Linked DNA regions of Schizosaccharomyces pombe. The protein of the gene in region 2 interacts with the protein of the main gene of each other region in a biochemical or structural test. Each region holds a gene or a part of one and is shown on either strand. Other genes may lie near its edges.

The links. Proteins that work in one complex are often made in the same cells at the same time.
Region 1: the proteins of eme1 (region 2) and mus81 form a complex in vitro, tested with the Schizosaccharomyces pombe proteins (one study listed by BioGRID).

What each region holds. Positions count from the first base shown.
Region 1 is NC_003421.2:458,954-465,214, forward strand, and holds mus81 (Holliday junction resolvase subunit Mus81), read left to right. Parts: upstream 1-3,766; coding exon 3,767-3,862; exon of another isoform or gene 3,863-3,871; intron 3,872-4,028; exon of another isoform or gene 4,029-4,030; coding exon 4,031-5,761; downstream 5,762-6,261. Other genes in the region: serine/threonine protein kinase S6K family Psk1, read right to left, coding at 1-457; PHD finger domain-containing protein Phf1, read left to right, coding at 1,164-2,549; mrpl4 (mitochondrial 54S ribosomal protein uL29m), read left to right, coding at 2,998-3,432; coq5 (C-methytransferase), read left to right, coding at 5,984-6,176.
Region 2 is NC_003424.3:3,293,031-3,302,820, reverse strand, and holds eme1 (Holliday junction resolvase subunit Eme1), read left to right. Parts: upstream 1-2,907; 5' UTR 2,908-2,953; coding exon 2,954-3,040; exon of another isoform or gene 3,041-3,096; coding exon 3,097-3,188; exon of another isoform or gene 3,189-3,272; coding exon 3,273-5,301; 3' UTR 5,302-5,479; downstream 5,480-9,790. Other genes in the region: glycerophosphoryl diester phosphodiesterase Gde1, read right to left, coding at 5,480-8,870, 9,175-9,191. UniProt on the Schizosaccharomyces pombe protein: Interacts with mus81 to form a DNA structure-specific endonuclease with substrate preference for branched DNA structures with a 5'-end at the branch nick. Typical substrates include 3'-flap structures, D-loops, replication forks and nicked Holliday junctions.

The DNA of each region.
Region 1 (6,261 bases), on a different chromosome or scaffold from region 2:
AAATGAACGGATGTCGAACCTCTTCTAATATCTGTCGCTCATTTTTGGTTTGTTCGAGGCCCTTGGCACGAAGAACAATGCTAGCTTTCTTTAGCTGTTTCTGAGCAAACAGTCGTCCAGTATTTTTTTGCTTCACTAGGAGCACCTTTCCGTAAGAGCCACGACCCAATACCGTTAAGGGTTGAAAGTCTGCTGGACGCATCTTTCCGCTTGGTACATAGTTGTCACCCTTGGAAGAAATAAAATCACCATGGGCAGCAACCTTAAACTCTACCGTCCCCTTTTCATCTTTGGCATTCTTTCCATCCTTCAAATCACTTGACGAAGTGATTGTCGACGCAGATGCCTCCAATTCTTCAAAATCATATCCCTCCTCTGCAATCTCATCGTCACTAGACAAATGGGAATTGTAATTCTCATTCAAATTGTCGTGCTCATCAAACATAAAGACAGGCATCTTTGAGCAATTTGTACTGTGAAGGATCACAAGTTTGGCATATGTATGCCCAAAATGCCTTTTCCTTGTTGTTTGGTAGACGAACAAAAGACTGCCGGGATGTAGAGCAAGAAATTCTCTTTGTCATACCTCATTTTGTTGATTCAAAACGCATTGCTGATTGGCCAATTTAGTAAAGTTTAGATATATATAAAGCTTTTGATTCGCCCTCTTTACTAATTAAAGTTATCAACTTACTACTTATTGGACCGCTTACATAGGCTATTGTGCGTTTTACTTTAAAATTTTTTTATGCCGAGAAGCTAGATTAGTGATGATTAACGTGTCTTATACGATGTGCTTTGTGCATTTTAACGAATGAAAATGTCTTGTTGCTTATGTTGTTACCGTAATGTAAGGCTGGCTCTGTAAAACGATGCCAGTTTTATATGGCCTATGCATACCTTCTTCTTGAGACGCGCGTGTTAAACTCATCTTTCGTTGAATGGCGAATTTACATCAATGAATTGAGATTTAGGAAGATTTACTTTTTACATAAAGTTATTCTATGGTCTCAGATATTTTGAATTAACATTCACTGCGTGACAATTGCGTGTATCATCATTTTAATTTGCGTTTCATGTTTGCTAGTTTCATCTAATTGTGCATTTCGTTTTAAATCAAAATTTTCCAAATTACTCATATTTATTAGTCCTCGTTTTTTACAATGTCTCAAAAGAATTTTTTCGACGAAGGAAAGAGCTATGGTGTAAATGACTATGCCGGTTTCCATTTTGAAAATGGTGCTGATTCATCCCTTCCTCAGGTATCGGCTCAAGGTGTAGTTAGAGAAACGGACAGCTCGAATTTTGATGCTTCCCCTGTCGCATCGGGTTCTGGAATTTCCGATGTTGGACCATTTGGCGCTGATTTCCATCAACTGCAGCAGCATGTACAGACACCGTATGGCGGTATGACTATGCCTGCATCTTCCTCTTCAGGCGCTACTTCAGTACCACCGGAGCAAGATCCTTCTTTGTCTGTATCATTCAATCGCTTGCCCAAGTCTGCATCAACCAAGACTAAGAATGGACGCATTCGATCGTCTCGTCGGGAAGACGATAATCGTATACCATTTTACGATCTCGATGTTGCAGAAGGTGCCGAGGATGATTTACAGGAAGACTTTCACGTGGAAGGAATGAAAACAAAATCGGGTAGAAAGATTCAGCGGCCAGTCGCATACAATCCTAATGCCACCGCATTGAAACGGAAAAGTCGCAAGGTCGATATGGTCACCTTGTGTAGCGTCTGTCAACGAGGACATTCTCCTTTATCTAATCGAATCGTATTTTGTGATGGATGCAATTCTCCATATCATCAGCTTTGCCATCACCCTCCGATTGACGATGCAACCGTTCAGGATGTGGATGCTGAATGGTTTTGTATGAAATGCCAGTACAGGCGTGCCAAGCAACCTTTAGAAACGGGAATGACGGCACAAGATCTTGGGTTAAGTGAATCAGACAAAAAAATGTATCTATCAAGTTTACCTACTCCTCATCTCGCAGATCTTATTCTTTTTTGTGAAAAGTCTTATCCATCTCTTCCCATATACAACCCACGTACTCGGGAGTTGTTGGGTGAGATTCGGCATCAACTACTTGTTAGTTCTGAACGCCAACAAATATCTTTACAAGAGCGACTTCATGCTAAACAAGATGAAGCTCCCTCTGATGAGCCTGCACCTGTCCCCTATACCGCAAGTTATGTTGCGAATTCTGGAACCTTATACGACTATCCAACGTTAATACGGTTAGCTATTCGTAACACCCTCTCACCTTCCAAAGATGAAATATTTAACTGGCTTGCTCAAAACGTACCATTGTTACCAACTTTTCACGACAGCGCTTCCGAGGCCATTCGTTGGATGGTAAATAAAGGTCAACTGGTCCGTTCCGGTAGCATCTATCAAATAGCAACAGTCGAAGAATACCCTCACCTCCAACCCTCTTTACTTCCTACTTTTCAACGAAACCGTAAGGTACCTAAATTGGTGCCTGTCTCTTTCCCCACCGATGATCCTCAAAATTTATGTGCTACTGTTTTATGAAACTGAACAAATTTTTCTAAATGTATAGACAAAAAAAATTTCTTTACTTCCCGTTTTTAATTAAACGGTTGCGTCCCGTTAATCTCGAAATAAATTTATAAGCGGTCGAAAGCAATGTATCATTACACCATGTATTAGCTGCAAATCAAAGTACTTTAGTATTTCCTTCATGGATTCAAACTTTTCACTCGATAACAAATCTAGGGAAAATACATAAATCGCCCTACACACTTTCTGTTTACATTATAAACTTTTCGTTTGGAATGTTTCCTCGCCATGAAATCTTAAAATAAAATAAAATAAGGAAATGAACAATTTCTCAATTTAGCAATAATTAAGAAAGTCAATGAAGTATAATAAAAAATAATTATTTTTAAAGTATGACTTACAACCATTATTATCGGTCAATGTCAGGGTGTTACAGCGCACCTTCTACTTACCACCAAAGATGAGGTCCACGTTGGCTAGCGCTCAGAAAGCAGCCGTACGTATTCCAAAGGGCTTTGTATTTCCTGTTCCAAAAGTAAAAAGTGCTCCTAAGGTTTCAGACACGCACCCTTTGTGGAATTTCTTTCGGGACAAGCAAGCCCTTCCACCACCATCGGAAGAGGCTAAATTCGGTAGAGCATGGGCTGCAGAAGAGCTTCGTTGGAAGTCTTTTAATGATCTACATGGACTTTGGTACAATTGTCTCCGAGAGAAGAACCTATTGTTCACACAAAGGGCTGAAATGAAACGCTTACAGTTGACTATTCCCAAAGCCTCAAATGAGCGTGTACTTGCAGTCAATAAAACCATGGCAGCTATCAAATTTGTCCTATGGGAACGCCAAAGAGCATATACTTCTGCCAAGCAGCTCGAGAAACAAAAGGGATCTTCTTAAACCCCTTCCTTTTAGGAAAACAGAAAATCATCCAAGTATGGCTTTATTATGATCTAAAGCTTCATCATTTCACAAACTTTCTAAAAATATACCCTAATACACGAGAAACTGTTTTATAATGATGATAATGATTTTTTATTTTGTTCACCTATAATTGTTTTCTTTATTTTGTTTATACTGATCATAAAATCTCGGTTGTCCCGGCAACCATGCTAATGTCTTTACACGAAATTTAGGAAATCGCATTCTATCCACATCCATTTGTTTAGACTTTTGTTTCGTGTGACAATCGATAATTTGAATGAAATAGTTTTTTTCTTTGTTTTTCGGATCCATGGATTGTGGAAATCCGCTGTTTTTACAATGGATACAGGAGTGGATGGAAGAGTCGACGCGTCGCTTCCCCAAGTCATATCAAACCTGGAGAAAGGTAGGAAATTTATTGGATTAGTGAAAAACTCTTTGAAAAATAAATAATTTAAATATTAAATTAATAATGACTGTAATTTTTCGAAAGCTTTTATAGCTTCGTACTCCATAAATATCATAACAATCACTGTTGTTGTTGTTTTAAATAAGAAACCGTGCTAATAATTAGGCCTACGATTCAATGAAAAGTTGCCCCATCACATTTCATCGTCCTTCTCAGGCATTGGCACTGAAGGGAATTGGCCCTACGATTTGTGCCAAGCTAGAAAAGAAATGGAACGCTTACTGTTTGGAAAATAATATTCCAATTAGCACGCACAATGAACAGAATGATTCTCATGTCAATGCTAATAAATCGTCTTCTGAGACTTCTTCTGAAAAGCCTCGAAGCGTTAAAAAACCGACTACAAGAAAGAGAAAGGTCTATGTTCCGAGCTATCGTTCTGGTGCATATTCAATTCTTTGCGCTCTTTATATGCTTAATAAACACGAATTCGCTACAAAGCCTCAAATTGTTACGATGGCCCAACCGTATTGTGATTCGTCCTTTGGATCTGCTACAGACCGAAACATGCGTTATACTGCATGGAGTGCTATGAAGACTTTGATCACAAAAAATTTAGTTTACCAGACAGGTCATCCCTCTAAGTACTGCTTGACCGACGATGGTGAAGAAGTTTGCATACGTTTGGCAAAAGTAGACGATTCCTTTCAACGGAAACATACTGTATCAAACTTTTCTGTCTCTAAATCCGATGATCATGATTCCTCTTTATGCCAACCTCCAAATTTTGTTACATCAATCAATAAAGCAGGAAGTTCTTCAGACCACGGAGGTGAACTACATGTTACTTACTGTCCGGTAGATCATAATGAAGTTTCTGATGGTGTTGAAACCGATATAGATGTTGATCAGGTGGATTCGTTGACCGGAATTCATGATCACCATATCATTAACAATGAGCAGTTGATTGACTTGACGGAACAAGAAAAAAAGCAACCAAATGAAAGCAATTTGTCTAACTTAAAAATCGAGACGGTATTATTCTCAAACTGTACGGTTTTTCTTCTGATTGATACTCGAGAAATACGTTCTCCCTTGGATCGCAATCTTATTATCGATAAACTGACTAATGACTTTGGTGTCAATTGTCAGGTACGATCATTAGAATTGGGAGATGCTTTATGGGTTGCAAGGGATATGGAAAGCGGTCAAGAAGTTGTGTTGGATTTTGTCGTTGAAAGGAAAAGATATGATGATTTAGTTGCTTCCATTAAGGACGGAAGATTTCACGAACAAAAGGCACGTCTAAAGAAGAGCGGAATACGTTCAGTCACCTACATTTTGGAGGAATCCTCTTATGATGAAAGTTTCACGGAATCAATTCGTACAGCTGTTAGCAATACCCAAGTCGATCAATTATTTCATGTCCGTCATACGCGATCACTTGAACACAGCGTAAGTTTGCTTGCTGAAATGACAAAGCAAATTAACCTGTTTTATGAGAAACGTAAAACCCTCGCTGTCATTCCCGATTTGTCGATAGAAGCCAAAACTTATGAGTCGTTACGAGAGCAACTTCTAAAAATTGATCCCTCAACTCCTTACCACATATCATACCATGCATTTTCCTCTGTCCTCTCGAAGTCTTCTACTTTGACCGTGGGGGATATTTTTATTCGAATGCTTATGACTATAAAAGGTATAAGTGCTTCAAAAGCCATCGAGATTCAGAAGAAATATCCAACATTCATGCATTTATTTGAGGCGTACGAAAAGTCATCATCTAGCCAGGAAAGAAACTTATTACTGAATAAGACTTGTCAAGGCTATGGTTTTCAAACAATAGGGCCAGCACTTTCCGCCAAGGTCGCAAGCGTTTTCTTTCCAGAATCTTGAGCCTTTGAACTTTTATTTATTTATGATTCATAATATTTATTCAATTTTCTTATCATTTCCCATATATTTAATTTACCTTTGCTTTACCATCGGAAATTGCGTATGTTAGTGTATTGCGGTATATAGGTAGCATCAGATTCCCTTCAAATCGTGAGTTTCTACCTAGCACTATCCATAAACAAAACCGTTACACTTGGTATTCGTTTTTGAAACTGCTGTATCATGTCACGTTTAAGAGCTCCTGTTGCTAAATTTTTAGCTGATGGATTGAAAGGAATCAGGTCTACAGCTTTGGCTGGCTCTCGATTGTCTAATTGTCGCTATACCAGTACTAGCTCGAAAGATACTGATACCTCAAGCCACATGACTCATTTTGGATTTAAAGACGTTCCGGAAGATGAAAAAGAGCACCTTGGTATGTATGGAAGAACTGGTTTGCTAGGACATGTGATTTGATTGTAAATCATAACATTTTGCATTTTGCATTTACTGAAGAAATT
Region 2 (9,790 bases):
AAAGGTTTTTTGAGGAGGATTTGTTGCGCTTTTGTATGGATACGATCAAGATAATCAATTACGTTAGCCCACCAATCACGAAAGAGTCAATATTTTCCACGGGCCAATCAATCCGACCATGTTGGTTCAGGCTCGATAGCCCTGATCCTCGGAAAAGCAGCGTGCAAAAGCCGCTACAATGCAAATTTCAACTTTGGATCGGGTGACATGTGACTCAGAGGGGAGACGAGGCAGAAGCAGCAGGCGAGCGCAAAAGTAAACAGAGAAACGCAGCAAGAGAAGAGAAAAAAGGAAGAGAAAGAAAAAATGAAAGAGAAGAAAAAAAGTAAATTGAAGAAAAGCATTGTATAATAACATTTAAAATGGGAGAAAAAGAAAGATCAATAGAATAGAATAGTATAGAAATGCAGTAATGAATGACAAGAAACCAGGGAGCATCAGACATGTTCAGTAAATAATTCCAATAAAAGATAAGTAAAAGAAATTTGTCTGAGTGCAAAAGAATATTTCAAGATGTTGTAAGAAGGATTATTTTGTTTATTTTGTTTTTGTTTTATTTTATTTTCTTTTTCTTTTTCTTTTTGTTTTTCTCTTTCTCCTTCTCTTTCTTCTTTTCTTTTCATCGCTTCCTCTCATCTAAAACTTTGATCCGACTGATAGCTTGGAATCCATCGTATTGCATTACACCACACTATACAACGCTATATCCTTCGATGGATTATCTGGTCTTAGTCTTAGTCTTAGTCTTTATCCTAGTTATTGGTGCCTGCCCTAGCCCAGACAGAGATTTGAAGAATGGGGGTTAGGATCCTTGATGCCCCCAGTAGACAAAGAGCAGTATAGCAATGACAATGACAATAGCGATAACAATAAAATAGCGATAGTTTAGTAAAGAACTGTTAAATAGTAATAGTAATAGCAAATACAATTTCTATTTGAATCGCTGTCTTTGTCTACATTCGTTTTTTGCTCATGTTCCTTCATCTCCTGTGTTCATGCTTCCGTACGAAAAGACCTGCAACGCTTCCGGCCCATCGGACGCTGCATTTTACTTTTTTAGATGGAGCTCTGATCGTCCATCTCTCCCATTCCTCCCGGCTACTAAACCCGGAGTTAAGATAAAGGTGCGCCTGCTATCCGAAGAAAATAAACTCTGCGTAACCGAAGCAACAATGGTCGTGGTAGCAAAAGGAGTATAGGGTGAAAAGAGAAAAAGATAAAAGAGAGAAGAGAGGAGAGGCGAGAAAGGAAACAAGAATTATAATTAAAAAAAAAAAAAAAAGAAAAAAAGAGATTTTCTCTTAAGAATCAAAACATACTGAATGCAATTGTTTTGCCGAATACTACGATTTTTGACGTATTGCACTTTTTTTGGCTTATTGCTGGATCAACATGTATAAGAGTCTATTTAAAGGATTTCCGTTGTAAAAATACAACTTATCACACTCACACGTTGACACTAAGAGAAAAAAGCTATAGCGAACAATGATACACACACATATACATACGCTGTTGCTATTCACATACGCTGCCTTGATACACACTGTCTTGACTATAAGGAAAAAAGGTTTGGCTTGGTCACAAGTAAAATGTAGCGATGACTTTCGTACTCTACTAATGATTGTTTAGTGAAGAATGATAAAAGATAGTAGTGTGTATTGATTATACTTGTATAATGCAGTTGAATTTACTATGAATAATTTGGAAATTTCGCACAACTCGTTGGTCCTCTTAAAAAAGGAGAAATTTCAGTTTGCGAATATTGGTTTCTCTCTCTCTTTACTTTGCTTTGCTTTGATCTGCTCTACTATACTCTACACCCTTGCCTTTCTGCTTTCTTTGTTTGGTTGCAAAATTCACAGATCGCAATGAAAAAATGTTTTAAACTGCGAACTAATAAGTAGAATTGATTTTGCAATGAAAAGTAAAATTAAATTAAATAGAAAAAGAAAATTTTAAAAAGAGACAAAGAAGAGTAAGGAAAAAAAAGCCCCCCCCCCCCCCCCCCCGAAAAAAAAAGAAAAACAATGTATTCATGGTAAAAACAAAAAAAGTTTTTACTCATCATTCATTGTATCGTTGATCAATTAAAGAATACAAAAAAAAAGTAAGCATAAACCCATTTGGAAACATTGCATCAAAGGATTTTTCATTTTCATTTTCATTTTTATTTTGTTTTATTTTATTTTATTTTATTTTTTTGTTTACCATCATTGATGAAACAGACTAATGAAAAAGAAACTCTAGTACATTTTTATTTTTATTTTTATACTATTGAGCTTTAAATATTAGAGTATTTTATTCTATTGAATTTGAATTGAATTTATTTTAATTTTGGTTAAATTAATTGATTTTCTTTTCTTTGAAATTTTTATTTTATTCAATCTTTTTACACTTTCTAACGTACTACCAAAGTCCCTAAATACCGTATCGCCCTTCTACCTAAAATTCTTTCAAAATGACACACTAAACCACAGTATTTGCAAAAGAAATACTCACCCATCCCACTCATTGATTTCAATAATCTTCAATTCTCAAACACAAAACGACATCCTTTCAACTACTTCTAAAAGAATAAATATTTTCCTTTTTTTATACTATTCATCTTATCTAAACTCCTCCTGCATCCATTTCTCTTCTCCATTTTTTACCCATCTCTCACCTAACCTATATATACTTATATGTAAACAAACCTACTACTCTCTATACTTTCCATACCAAATATCCTCAAACATCCACGCAAACCTCCAATCTTTTTAATTATTCAAACTCTTTAATACCATTCCTATCTAAATTTTTTACTTCAAACTTTTTTTTTTTTTTCTCATTTCTTTTCGCTCTATTTCTGTCACCAACTCTCGTTCCCTGCCGGCTCCTTGTGTACACTTTGCCCTACCTGTCCTAACCACCAAACCCTCTATTGTTCGGAAAACAAACACTACACATGCATTGAATGACTCTGCAGTCTACAGATTCCGCTATTGTGATCGATTCTGAAGCTGATGTTGACATTTCAAGCTCACAAGCTTCTCCTTCCAAGGTTTGTCGCGTATTTCCCTTTCTTTCTGTTCGCTTTTTTTTTAACCCTCTTTTTAGGACAATATTGCTTTGTCAGAACACAATGTTATAACTGTTCTTGATACTCCTCAAAGATCTACTCAATGCGATAGTTTGCTAAAAAGTTTCAGGTAAGTTGACAAATATTGTTGCCAGCATTTCCTTCCTTTCCACACTTTTCTTCCACATCTCGCTAATCGTTCATTTGGGGTCAGTACTCCTTTAGTTTCCGGCTCCGAAGATGTTCTCCCTAGTCCCCGTGATGCCCTTAATATCACTAATAAAAAGTCGGTTACCGATAATCTTTTGCTCTCTTTAACTTCTTCAAACCAGTCAACAAACACGAATTTAAATCCTTCTTCACGCGTCGAAATCATTAATTTAAACTCTTCTCCCCCTAATTCCCTTTCCTCGCAACCAAAACACCAAGAATTTCATTTATTCCATACTCCCACCATTCCTAGGACTACACAATTGTCATCGAAAACCTCCTCTCCCATCGTTATTCCCGACGACAATGAACAAGTGGCTTCCCCTTTATCTAAAAAAGCTGCTTCTTTGACTTCTTCACCCTTAAAAGATTTCCAGTCCTCCCCGCCGCTCTCCACAGTCCTTCAAAAATCCCACTCCCTTCACGATATACTACTGGACACGAATGATGACGATCATTTCCCATTTACCCAGAGTCCGCTAACAAAAACAAAATCTTTCAACGATGCACTAACATCCTCATCCTCTATACTAAAGCCATGCATGCCATCCATCGCTAGTCCTACTTCTAATCGATTATCACATGCCCCTTCTACGCCTAATTTATTTCCTAACCAAGACAGCTCCAATACAATCGACCTCATCAATAACCGTTCCAAAACCTCCGTAGAAAATCAAGAAAGAACTTTCAATCTCACATCTGATGTGCACTTAGATAGCCCGACCTCTCCATCCAAGCATTCTTCAATTGAACCCAATACTAGTCAGGAAGATAGTTTTCAAGAACTTCCTTCTCTAAACAAACTTTCCATTCAAAGTAGAGCTTTTAAAAAAATGAGACTACCCAAAATTTCAAGGACTACCGATACGCCTCCTGCCTCTACTTCAAATTCAAATAAAAAAAATTTGGATAAATTAAAAAAAATGAGAAAATTATGCTCTAGGAGCTTGGAACCGTACGAGCTAGACTCTAATACACAACGTAAGAGGAAACGTTACGAAGATTCTTTGAAAAAATCAAAAACTTTAGATAAGGTTGACAGCTTGAATAGAAAGATGGCGAAAGAATTGGACAGAAAGAATTCAAAGGAACTTCAAAAAATTAACAAAGTTAAGAGAACCAAAGAAGAATGCCTATCTGAGATAATTCTTTTATCGCCGGATGATTGGGCTTCATCTTGGTATTCAACTGTTCGCTCTCAATTAGATTCATACAACTGCCAATTCGTTGTCAATTCAAATCAACCAAAAGACTCAATTATGTGGAAAAGGAAGGTAAACAATGTGTTTAATTCTTCTACCAACCGGTTTGAACTTAGCATAGAGCATGAACAAATCGAACCTTTTGCCCTACTACGGTTGAAATGCCGGGATTTTATAAAATACATCGAAGAGGACCAAGCTGATACTTTTTTTCATGAAATGTCTGAAAAGTTTAAAGGCTGTAAGCTAATACTGTTGCTGGAAGGCATCCCAAACTATTTTAAATCTCTGAAAGCAGAATTAAATCGTCAATATGCAGCAGCTGTTAATAGCGGTACCAGACCTTTGTTATTTGGTTCTTTATCAAAATATCAAAACTTTACTAAAGAAAAGTTAGAGAGTGAAATCGTCCGCTTCAGTTTCGAACATAGTATTCTTATAAACACTTCAAATGACGAAAAAGAAACCGCTCAATGGATAGTTTCCTTTACCGGCGACATAGCTTTATCTCGTTACAAGCACTTTTCTAAATTTTCAGCTAGAGCCTCTACTACCGAAATAGGACATGTCAAATCCGCCGATAGAATTGAAAACTCTCTAAATTTTATGTTGCGGCAAATACTACGAGTTACACCTAACATTGCTAACGCCATATGCGATCAATTTGACAGTATACCATCTTTAATTCATCATCTAAAAACTCACGGCGAGGAATCATTAACCAACGTTGTCATCCAATCTAGTATTAGTGAACGAAATTTAGGTCCGGTTTTATCGCGCCGTATATATAACACTTTCTTATGTAAAGAAGCATCCAGTGATGCACCATAGTGATCGGTCATTATTTGTATTTCATTAATTGTTATCATGATATTTTTTCCTTTTTTTTTCTATCTATGAAATTTTCTTATGATATACTTTCTTCTAACTAAAAATTAACTAATATCGGTTTCTAACTAAAGCACCTCATCTTCTATATCGTCGGTAGTATTCGTTCAAACTTTCTAGATCAATCAGATTCCAAACTTTCATCGTACTGGTTCAAGGCACGTCTAATGGCTAACACATTGTCTACAATGACAGCATCAACTCCAAAACGTACTTGGCGTCGGACATTGTCAACATCATTATTGAGAACACCATAGGTGTAGCAAGATAAACCCAATTGTTTAACTGCCTTGATCAGCCTCGGGCACATAATGAGCGGTTCACAAGCACTAACGATACCCAGAAAACTCCACTGTGAGGCAAACTTTAAAGCTTGTCTAAGCGATGCTGCACGAACGTCTGTTCGGTAAGCGGTACCTCCTTCAGTCAAAAAAAGAACAGGATTAGTCGATTTCAAAGAAAGTAAGATGCATATATCAGGATTAAAACTAGAGAAAATATACTTTCTTTTACCACCATACTTTTTGATTATCGATAGAATGGTATCCACGTAAAAGTTATAATCATAAGCTATAGGGAGCAATTTCTCTTCCTCAGCTTCACTTAGCATGGGGTACTTAAATTCCACATTAAGTCCTACGGATTGTGGAACTTCCTTCAAAACATCCTTTAAAGTTGTGAACGGTGCACAAATCGTATGACCAAGGGCATTACCCTTATATACTTTAGGCTTCAAACGTGCGTTTTCTTCAGCAAATTCACCGAAATTAACCTGTGATCCTGAAGGTGTAAATGAGGAACTGTAGGCCCTAGGACGTCTCTTCTGCTGAATGTCACTTGCATCATCTTTAATTTCTTCTGAAGGAGAGTGGGAAGCCCCTAAGAATTGCTCCAAAGTCAGCGAATGCACTTGTGCATCCGTTCCGGTTTCGTTTACGATAAAATCATGGTATACCACTGGGACCATGTCTTTAGTCATTTGCACATCTAATTCAACGTAAGAAGCACCAAGATCTGCCGCTTTTATAAACGATTGTAAAGTGTTCTCGCCAAGTTGAAGACTCAAACGATCAGGCTGATTCTTACCAAGTCCACGATGTCCGATAACCGCAACACCATTCGATTTCCCTGATTCTGATGTAGTTGTGGCAGATTTGTGTAAAGAACGCTCAGCGTCTTCCAATGCAGTGCGACTTACGTTGGAAACTGCTTCCAGCGATAAGGCAGGGGTACTTATGCCATCATTTGACGAAAATCTATCATCAACTGTCACCTTAGAAATAAGAACATCCGCATTAACATGAGCTATTGGTTTAAGAGTTTTACTCGAAAGTAATGGTAAGGGTGCCAAAGGTTTCAACGACTGCATATGATTCCCCAAATCAGATACCAGAGAAGTCAAGCAACATACAGTTCTCCCTAATATTTTATGGGATCGATTTGCTAACAAATCAATTGTAATAGTTGCTTCTTCTGTATTTCTTGTAACGAAAACCAATTCATACGGTGGAGAAGACCCGTTTACAGGTTGCGGACTATTTTCTTGTGCGGCATCATAATGCAAATGAATAGAGTCGTCGGCAATTTCATCAGGCTCCGCCAAATTCTCTAAGCAAACTTCACCGGCATTATCAAAATGGGAGCGAGGGATATCAATAATCACTGAGTTGTTTTGGCTAGAAGATGGTGTCATAGAGCCATTAGAAGCAGTAGTGTCGTTTTTACTCAACGAGTCAGTAGATTGAGACATGAAATCTACTGAAGATGGTCTACTTGCGGCAAAAGATGGAGACCGCCCTGAAACATACACAGCATCATCACCTTGAAGACTAACGCGGATTCTACCGGCCAAATCACTGATTCGAATAATGACCACTGAACGAGATAATTGTAAATCCATGGCACGTTTTCTGCTCCTCATTTCGGAACTTGAGGCTTTGATATAAAGTGTATGTAAATTAACAGGCTTATCACTCAAGGCGACTTGAGTTCTAAGTTTATCTGCTAGGTGTAAATACCCCCGAACCACAGCTTGTTCCATAGCAGTCCAACCTGAAGAATCAACTTCGTCAACCGAAGCGCCCGAGGCAACTAAAATTGAAACAATTTCGGAAAGTCCAGTAGCTGATGCAAGCATCAAAGGAGTCCATGAATTCAAAAAATCCCTTGCGCTAGGGTTTGCTCCAAGTTTGAGTAACATTTTAACACATTCCGGCCTGTTATAACGAACAGCGGTGTGTAAAGCTGTATTGCTACTAGCATCAACTTCGTTAGGATTGAATCCTGCAAGGATGAGTTCTTCTACGATCAAATCGTAATCGCCTACACAGCAAGTCAAGACCAAAGGAGGAACGGGTCCCGGCTTGGTAGAGGTTGTTTCCTTATCCTGAGCAGAAAGCAAAGCATGAAGAGCTTCAACATGATTTCCCTTAATAGCCAAAGTCAAGGGAGTGTCGTGCATTACATCGCGCCAACATGGAAGCATCCAATTCAATGGCTCAGAGTCAGGGATTGATGAAACAATTTCACAAAACTTACTGCACAATCCTGCCCAACCGAGTTTCGCAACAGAGTGCATCACACTCTGTCCCTTGCTATTTCGTTCTACAAGAAGAATCCTTGAAAGTAAACGATTAGAATGGTATGAATCCACATAAACCACTGAACAAATTTGTTTCAACACCTCCAAAAAATATAAAACTCCTTCGTCAGGACCACAGAGGTTGTTAATTGCACGACGTAATGCAGAAGCCAGGCACTCAGAACGTAAACCAATTCTTCCTATAACTTCACGCATACAAGCTTTGGCTCCCGCAATGATGGAGGCAGCCAGTATATCTACGAGTACACTATCAGGTGCATTTATACAAGCGGTCACGACCTCTGCGGCAATATCCAGTTGAATAAAAGCTAAAAGATCCTTCTTCAAGGGATGGTGAATTGACAATTTTTCCAACTTGTCTTTCACTTCACTATCGTTTTGAGAAGAATTCAAAGCCTTCAGGGCAATCATGGACTCATAGATCTTGGACGAATTCGCAAAATCAAGCTTACACACCTTCTGCTCATAAAATGTAACCAAGCGCTCCGTACCAAGGTGCTTATCCATATTGGCAGCTAGCTTTTCAAAGGCCAGCTTATTCCATTCACAAAAGGATGATAATTGTTGAAGACGAAAGTCTAGCTCTTTCAGTTGCTTCGCCTTTTCTTCAGCTTCGTAAGATGAAGACAGTGCCTGTGTAATTTCAGTATTGGGAGATTTCTCCGTAGACAAACGAGTGACATAATTATCAAGCTGGACAATGCGAGTATTGAACAAGTTAACAACCTTCTGAAGATCGTTTTCCAACATTTCGTCGATCGATCCCTTTGGCCATGATCCGTCACTATTACGCCTCAATAATTTCTTCCGTTCATCCTCGGGAAGCGCAGCAACCAGTTGAATCTTTCGCTTTATTCCATTATAATCAACATACTGTTCTGCAAACTCCGGGATCAACGCCAATTGAAGACTGTCGGTTAGCAGACAATGACTAAAGCAAACCAACAATTATAAACTAAGAAAAAGAAAAGTTTAAACAATGGTTAGTCATACGGTTGCAAATGATGAGAATGAAGGGAAAGGAGTTTACTGGCAGATCATCTTAATTAATCCCGTACTCCTATTCAACACAAATGCGTATCCTCAAACATAACCGTTACATTCAAGACATTAAAAGCCTTAACCATAATAAACTTTTTGCAAATATTGCATTCTTTAACGGCTATTTGAAGGTCTAAACAACATTCTAAAATGTGTAAAATATGTCGACCTACCTTTCACCAAACTTCATAATAAAGAGGACTGGGATTCAGGAATTTGAGAGAGATCGAAATTAATGGAGTAATCCAATCGTTCATAAACTACTATTTGGCTAAGGCCAAGTTCAAATACGTGGTAGAATACCACTACTTTGGTCGTCGTACGCTTCGTTAACGATAATAACGATTAGCAGCAAATATTGTAGAAAGCCAATTTTGGCTAGCATCGACACAGCTTTGACAAAATTTGCTACAATGGTTTGATGTGATGATTCGAAATATTTTAATTCGAACTTAAAAAATTAACGCTTACAACTTGACACCATTTTTTTACGTCAATTATAACTTCTAATGCTTAGAAGCGTCAACTTGAACGTTACCCTGATGAAAACTAATCAATGAATAATGTAAAAGCTCAATAGTTATTTATCGAGAATCTGTGTCCTTTTTTTACTAAAAAGAACTATTCTGAAGAAGCAGTTAAAACTAACATACTTATGTTTGAGGCTATGCAGAGCACCAGCCATTGAGTGCCTTTGTGTTTGTTTACTAGCTGTTGAATAAAGGGCACAGATGGCTGGGGTTTATTGCCATGTTGTAGTCAAACCGCTGCTGTTTAAGCTGTTGAAAA